Linked DNA regions of Neurospora crassa OR74A. The protein of the gene in region 2 binds, or shares a complex with, the protein of the main gene of each other region. Links are inferred from orthologs where the notes say so. Each region holds a gene or a part of one and is shown on either strand. Other genes may lie near its edges.

Evidence for each region. The genes of interacting proteins can lie anywhere in the genome.
Region 1: NCU09191 (region 2) and NCU00018 share a complex: the UniProt entries of both Schizosaccharomyces pombe proteins name them as parts of the ribosome quality control complex. The link is inferred for Neurospora crassa OR74A from reciprocal best matches to the Schizosaccharomyces pombe genes rqc2 and cdc48.

What each region holds. Positions count from the first base shown.
Region 1 is NC_026503.1:2,304,899-2,308,648, forward strand, and holds the start of NCU00018 (cell division control protein Cdc48), read left to right. Parts: upstream 1-1,206; 5' UTR 1,207-1,636; coding exon 1,637-1,692; intron 1,693-1,784; coding exon 1,785-1,812; intron 1,813-1,878; coding exon 1,879-1,934; intron 1,935-1,988; coding exon 1,989-2,238; intron 2,239-2,304; coding exon 2,305-3,750. UniProt on the Schizosaccharomyces pombe protein: ATP-dependent chaperone which probably uses the energy provided by ATP hydrolysis to generate mechanical force to unfold substrate proteins, disassemble protein complexes, and disaggregate protein aggregates.
Region 2 is NC_026501.1:5,772,285-5,775,943, forward strand, and holds the start of NCU09191 (hypothetical protein), read left to right. Parts: upstream 1-816; 5' UTR 817-921; coding exon 922-3,659. UniProt on the Schizosaccharomyces pombe protein: Key component of the ribosome quality control complex (RQC), a ribosome-associated complex that mediates the extraction of incompletely synthesized nascent chains from stalled ribosomes as well as their ubiquitin-mediated proteasomal degradation.

The DNA.
Region 1 (3,750 bases), on a different chromosome or scaffold from region 2:
CGTTGAAGTCGAGGCTGGTTTGATTGTTAGTCTGTTGCCTGAAAGGAAATGCCACACCCTCCGAGCTCCAGCCCCATTCTGGCTCAATGCGTGTTGTACAGTAGGTAGTAACGGTATATCGGATCCGGATCGTGGAGGCATTGGACTATGGGACCTTGAGGTCCCTTTGGACTCTGAATGGCCAGGTGGGCGGCGCGCCGCAGCGTCTTTGGGGTCACCATGTACAGCGGGGTAGCTAACACCCATGGTACTACACTACTGTAGTGTATGTATGTAGTACGTTACAAGGGTACCGAGCTCCCTGGCTTCTAGCCCCGCCTTCTTCCAGCCGGGCGCCGAGCAGTCCGGGGAGAGACTCCGGGACGTACTGGGTATCGGCGTGCCGGGGCGGAGCCGTATGGCCGGCGCGCGCCTCGTATAAGCACGGGCGGGGACGTGTCCTACAACCCCTGAGGACCCGGTTCTCGGTCGGGTCGAGGGTCGTCGTTTGCTCTTGTCACTCGCTTGCTCCACCCAAAGTGGCATGCGGGTTCCTGCGACGTCCGGACAAACGGACTCTCTCGAATCTCGATAAGACGACAGTTGCAGCCTGCCAACTTTCCGCGTGTTGTCCTGTTCCATTTCGTTTTCTGTGATACCTACCTAGCAGCATCGTTGGCCTGTGGCCTCTGTACAGGCCATCCGGTGGTGCATGCGACAACCACTGACCGCCTTGTTGTCCGTACTGCGGGGGAGGGGCAAATAGGAAATCCCAGGGCAGCATGTCTCGCTTCCTTGGAGAGACCTGACAGCCTGGCCATCTGGACATCGGTGCTCGAGCGGTGCTGCAGCATCCGAACCTCGATTCACTGTAAATCTCGAACTGAAGAAATGGAACGAACCCCAAGTCAAACAAGATGAAGCTTTGATCTGTCAGCAGCTTTGTAGAACGCATTCGAAGGTTCCGGCCGCACCGTTGCTTTACCAGGTGTGTCGGGCGACCTGAAGATCCTCGGAGCGATGGCAGAAGGCGTGCCTGGAGCCCGGAACAGCCAGGGCATGGAAGCAGACAGAGTGGCAGAATGGAAGTGTACCTATGGGCGAAAAGCACGGACCTTTGTCGCCCCAGAAAAGGCTCCGCTCATACTTCGTCATCCAAATGGTCGCCTGGCGGGGCGGTTTGTCAGTCAGTGACACTGACAGTTGAATCAGATGCCCGCTGTTGCTGTTGCCGCTCCCCAGCTGCTGGCCACCAGCTGCTTGCCCCTGGTTGGCTGGCCTTGGAGGGAGCAAGCGGTCGGTGCCACTCGCCGGCGCAGCGGTGCTTGCTTGCTTGCTTGCTTTGGCTCGAACCGTCCTTTCCATGCCTGGCCGTGACAACCTGAACGTAAACGAAACCAACTCCAACACCAAAACGCAAAGGCACTTCGTCCCTCCGACTGGTCCTTTTTTTTGTTTCCATCCCAACACCATTCACCTTCACCTCGCCGTCCAACCTCCAAAGAATCCCTTTATCAGCGGGTCTTGAGGCTACGAATTCTGGTTTCTTTTTCTCCAAAACCACTTCTTCCCGCTACATCCTCTCCGTGGATTAGCATCACCGTCCGCGATACCCAAATACCACATTTATTCTACTGATTCCAACACAAACGTCAAGATGGCTCCCGAACCTAATCCCGACCACGTCGAGCAGAAGAAGAAGGTCAACTTGATGTACGTGAAGCAGCGACGCTGATCGCGGGAGCTCTCGAAGCTGTCGCGCCCCCTCATCGCGAATGACGCCAAGCTGACTTGAAGCCAAACAGGGACGCTTCTGGTGCCGAGCACAAGGCCGTATGTTCAACCTCGCTTGCCCGCCAAAGACATCTCGAGAACCACTCGTGCTGACCGATGGAACAGGAAGATGATACCGCCACTGCTATTCTCAAGAAGAAGAAGAAGCCCAACCAGTTGATGTAGGTTGACGTTGAAGATGCGGGGCACTGCAACCTGAGCTAACACATATGCAGGGTTACTGACGCCGTCAACGATGATAACTCGATTATCGCCCTCTCCAACAACACCATGGAGCAGCTCCAGCTCTTCCGTGGTGATACCGTTCTCGTCCGCGGAAAGAAGAGAAAGGACACCGTCTTGATTGTTCTTGCCGATGACGATCTTGACGATGGCAGCGCACGCCTCAACCGTGTCGTTCGCCACAACCTCCGTGTCAAGCACGGCGACATCATCACCATTCACCCTTGTCCCGATATCAAATATGTTAGTCTATAACCCGGTCACCTAGTCATAGAATGGGCACCTTGCTGACACAGCATCTCCTTGTAGGCCAAGCGTATTGCCGTCCTCCCGATCGCCGATACCGTTGAGGGCATCACCGGATCTCTCTTCGACGTCTTCCTTGCTCCCTACTTCCGCGAGGCCTACCGCCCTGTCAGGCAAGGCGATCTCTTTATTGTCCGCGGTGGTATGAGGCAAGTCGAGTTCAAGGTCGTCGAGGTGGACCCACCAGAGTACGGTATTGTCGCTCAGGATACCGTCATCCACTGCGAGGGCGAGCCCATCCAGCGTGACGAGGAGGAGAACAACCTCAACGAGGTTGGTTACGATGATATTGGTGGTTGCCGTAAGCAGATGGCTCAGATCCGCGAAATGGTTGAGCTGCCCCTCAGGCATCCTCAGCTTTTCAAGTCCATTGGTATCAAGCCGCCCCGTGGTGTCCTGCTTTATGGCCCTCCTGGTACCGGTAAGACTTTGATGGCTCGCGCTGTTGCCAACGAGACTGGTGCCTTTTTCTTCTTGATCAACGGCCCCGAGATCATGTCCAAGATGGCCGGTGAATCCGAGTCGAATTTGCGCAAGGCTTTCGAGGAGGCTGAGAAGAACTCGCCCGCTATCATCTTCATTGATGAGATCGACTCGATCGCCCCCAAGCGTGAGAAGACCAACGGCGAGGTTGAGCGCCGCGTCGTCTCCCAGCTCCTTACTCTCATGGATGGTATGAAGGCCCGTTCCAACGTTGTTGTTATGGCTGCCACCAACCGTCCCAACTCGATCGATCCCGCTCTCCGTCGTTTCGGCCGTTTCGATCGCGAGGTCGATATCGGCATCCCCGACCCTACCGGTCGTCTTGAGATTCTCCAGATCCACACCAAGAACATGAAGCTTGCCGATGACGTCGATCTCGAGCAGATTGCTGCTGAGACCCACGGTTACGTTGGTTCTGATATTGCTGCCCTCTGCTCCGAGGCTGCCATGCAGCAGATTCGTGAGAAGATGGATCTCATCGATCTGGACGAAGACACTATCGACGCCGAGGTCCTTGACTCTCTTGGTGTTACCCAAGAGAACTTCCGCTTTGCTCTCGGTGTCTCCAACCCCTCGGCTCTTCGCGAGGTTGCCGTTGTCGAGGTTCCCAACGTCCGCTGGGAGGATATCGGTGGTCTCGAGACTGTCAAGCAGGAGCTCAGGGAGAGTGTCCAGTACCCCGTCGACCATCCCGAAAAGTTCCTCAAGTTTGGCCTTTCGCCATCTCGCGGTGTTCTTTTCTACGGTCCTCCTGGTACCGGTAAGACAATGTTGGCCAAGGCTGTTGCCAACGAGTGCGCAGCCAACTTCATTTCCGTCAAGGGTCCCGAACTGCTTTCCATGTGGTTCGGTGAGTCTGAGAGCAACATCCGTGATATCTTCGACAAGGCTCGCGCTGCTGCTCCTTGCGTCGTCTTCCTCGACGAGTTGGATTCTATCGCCAAGGCCCGTGGTGGCTCTGTTGGT
Region 2 (3,659 bases):
AAACTTATTACAAAATACAAATATTTCTATAATAAATAAAAAGACCTTTAATATCTATTCGACTACTAATATAGGGGATTATTATAATACCTTTATATAGAATCGCTTCTTCTTCCACTTCTCCTATCGAAGGTACCGCCGTATAATTTTAATTGAAATATATATATTATACTCGTTAGTTAAAAAGGCATAGATCTCATTAAAGTATAAATTAAATTTCAATATAAGGAGGTTTATAACTTCCTTTACAATATTAGTTACAATTAATAAAATATAAAGAATAATATAATATACGCTATACTTTAAATACCTATATAGAAAGCTTTTTAATATTCTAGGAAATTTATAATAGTAAAAATACTTTACTAATATCCAATAGAATATACTTATATTTCTATATACTCCTTATACTTACACTAATAATCTTAGCAATATTATTAGGATACTCGTTATTTACTAATATTATTATTATTAATACCTTTTAGCGGGTATTAGGGTAGCGTACTATATTGATAACGGTTTAAAAGATAATGTAAATATTAAAATAGACAATTGTACGACGTAGAGTATTAAAATATCGACTTTTTGCACTAGTTTTGGCCAGATTTCGATATTAAACGATTGAGTTGAGTCGTGTAAAGCGATGTCAAATGGCCAGATTTGTCAAATGCGGTGTGTGTGTGTGTGCACGCACACACACCTCTTGCCAAGACTGCACAGGCGATTGAGTGTGGGAATGACTGTTTGCCCAGCAAAAGTAGTGTACCCAGATACCCCACCACCCCGCCATGACATCTTGATGCATTGTTTTGGACGGCCGAAGCGATTTAGAGAAAACCCGACCTTACCGTCCCCCGTTATTGATATCGTTACGGCCCAAATTGAGCTCAACTTCGGTGATCACAAAGGCCATAAGCCTCCATGAAGCAGCGATTTTCCTCTCTCGACGTCAGGGTGGTGGCCCACGAGCTCTCGGAAGCTCTGGTGTCGCTGCGCCTGGCCAACATCTACGACCTCAACTCCAAGATCCTCCTCCTCAAGTTCGCCAAACCCGACACCAGGCAGCAGCTCCTGATCGAATCCGGTTTCCGCTGCCATTTGACTGACTTCGTGCGCACCGCTTCGCCGGCACCCAGCCAATTCGTCGCCAGGCTTCGCAAATACCTCAAGACCCGGCGTTGTACCTCTGTCTCGCAAATTGGCACCGATCGCATCATTGAGTTCCAGTTCAGCGATGGTGCTTTTCGACTTTACCTCGAATTCTTTGCTAGCGGCAACATTATCCTTACCGATGCCGACCTCAAGATCTTGGCTCTGCTCCGAAATGTTCCCGAGGGCGAAGGCCAGGAACCCCAGCGCATTGGTCTGACCTACACGCTCGAAAACAGACAGAACTTTGGAGGTGTTCCTGCCCTGACCAAGGAGCGTCTGAGGGATGCGCTGCAGAGCACAGTCCAAAAGGCAACCGCTGATCAGGCTGCCGGTAAGAAGATCAAGAAAAAGGGCGCCGACGAGCTACGAAGGGGCCTTGCGACCACCATCACAGAGCTACCGCCCATTCTCGTCGAGCACGTCTTCCGCCTCACCGGCTTCGACCCAGCCACCAAGCCTGCCGAAATCCTGGATGATGATTCCCTCCTAGACAAGCTATTCGACACCCTCCAGCAAGCACGAGAAATCCTTGACGAGGTCACCGATTCCTCCGTTTCCAATGGTTACATCATCGCCAAGCCTAGGTCCGGGTTTGAGGATACAGAGTTGGACGTCGATGCGCCACCAGCCGAAAAAGCAAAGACCCTCCTCTACGAGGACTTCCAGCCGTTCCTACCCAAGCAGTTCGAGGATGACAAGGCATATCGTATCTTGCCGTTCGTCGGCTACAACAAAACAGTTGATGAATTCTTCTCATCCCTCGAGGGACAAAGGCTAGAGTCCAAGCTCAGCGAGCGTGAGGCAGCTGCCAAGAGGAAGCTCGAAGCTGCTCGTATGGACCAAGCTAAGCGAATAGAAGGGCTGCAAGAGATGGAGATGCTAAACTACCGCAAGGCGGCGACTATTCAAGCCAATATCGAACGTGTCCAGGAAGCCATGGATGCCGTGAACGGCCTGCTACAGGAAGGCATGGATTGGGTTGACATCACGAAACTAATTGAAAAGGAGCAGAAGCAGGGTAACCCCGTCGCAGAAATTATCAAGTTGCCGATGAAGCTGAAGGAGAACACCATCACATTACTGCTAGGAGAAGGCGTGGAAGAAGAGGACGAGGCTGACCAAGACAAAGAGGATGATGAGTTCGATTACAGCGATTCTGAAGACGATGCCGACGGGGCAGACACCACCAAGGACAAGGCGCCAGTCAAACGCCTTGAGGTCGATATCAACCTGACACTGAGCGTTTGGAACAACGCCAGAGAATATTACGACCAGAAGCGAACAGCTGCTGACAAGGCGCAAAAGACGGTCCAGCAGTCGGTTATCGCCTTGAAAAATGCCGAGCAGAAGATCGCCGAAGATCTCAGAAAGGGTCTCAAGCAAGAAAAACCAGTCCTCCAACCCATCAGGAAGCAAATGTGGTTCGAGAAATTCACCTGGTTTATTTCCTCAGACGGTTATCTCGTTCTCGGAGGCCGTGATGCTCAACAGAACGAGATGCTGTACAAGCGGTATCTGAGGAAGGGTGACGTTTACGTTCACGCCGATGTTCACGGAGCTGCAAGCGTGATCATCAAGAATAACCCAAAGACACCTGATGCACCAATTCCGCCGTCGACGCTTGCTCAGGCTGGCAATTTGTCGGTATGCTGCTCTAGTGCTTGGGACTCCAAGGCTGGCATGGGGGCCTGGTGGGTCAATGCTGACCAGGTCTCGAAAAGCGCACCCGCTGGTGAATACCTCCCGGTAGGATCGTTCATGGTCCGAGGGAAGCGCAACCTCCTGCCTCCGGCGCTATTGACGCTTGGTTTCGGTCTACTCTTCAGGGTATCCGACGACAGCAAGTCCAAGCATACTCGCCATAGGGTCTATGATTTTGTAGAACGCAAGACAAAAGGTCGCGCTGACTCTCTGGATGCCCTGTCAGAACGTGCAGAGAGCCCGCACGAGCAGAAGCCAGTGGCCGGTGAAGAGTCTGAGAGTGATGACGATGACGAGGACGCCGCAGACCAGAAGGAAAGAGCCAATCCCCTGCACTCGCAGCGATCTGGACAAGTCGGTTCTGTGGAAAGCGATGCTGCCCAAGGCACAGAACCTCCGACGGAGGAGCTTGCAGACCTTGAAATCAACAAGGAGGAGTCCGTGAGCAGTCCCGATGAGAGCATCAAGTCGCCGGCGGAACTGGAACCTGCTGCAACACAAAATGAAGAGGAGGAGGACGACGACGACGACGATGAGGAAGAAGAGTCAAACCAGCCATCATCTGCAGCAAAGACCGGCACTCCCTCGTCATCAACCGCCCCTCAAAAGCAACAGTCTGCGAAGAAGGCACCCGCCAAGCGTGGCCAGCGCGGCAAGCAAAAGAAGATTGCGGCCAAGTACAAGGACCAAGACGAGGAGGACCGCGCCCTTATGGAAGAGCTGATGGGTGTCAAGGCTGCCCGTCAGAAGGCCGAAGCCGAAGCCGCGGCTAAAGCCAAGGCAGAAGCCGAGGCTGCTGCCGCTCG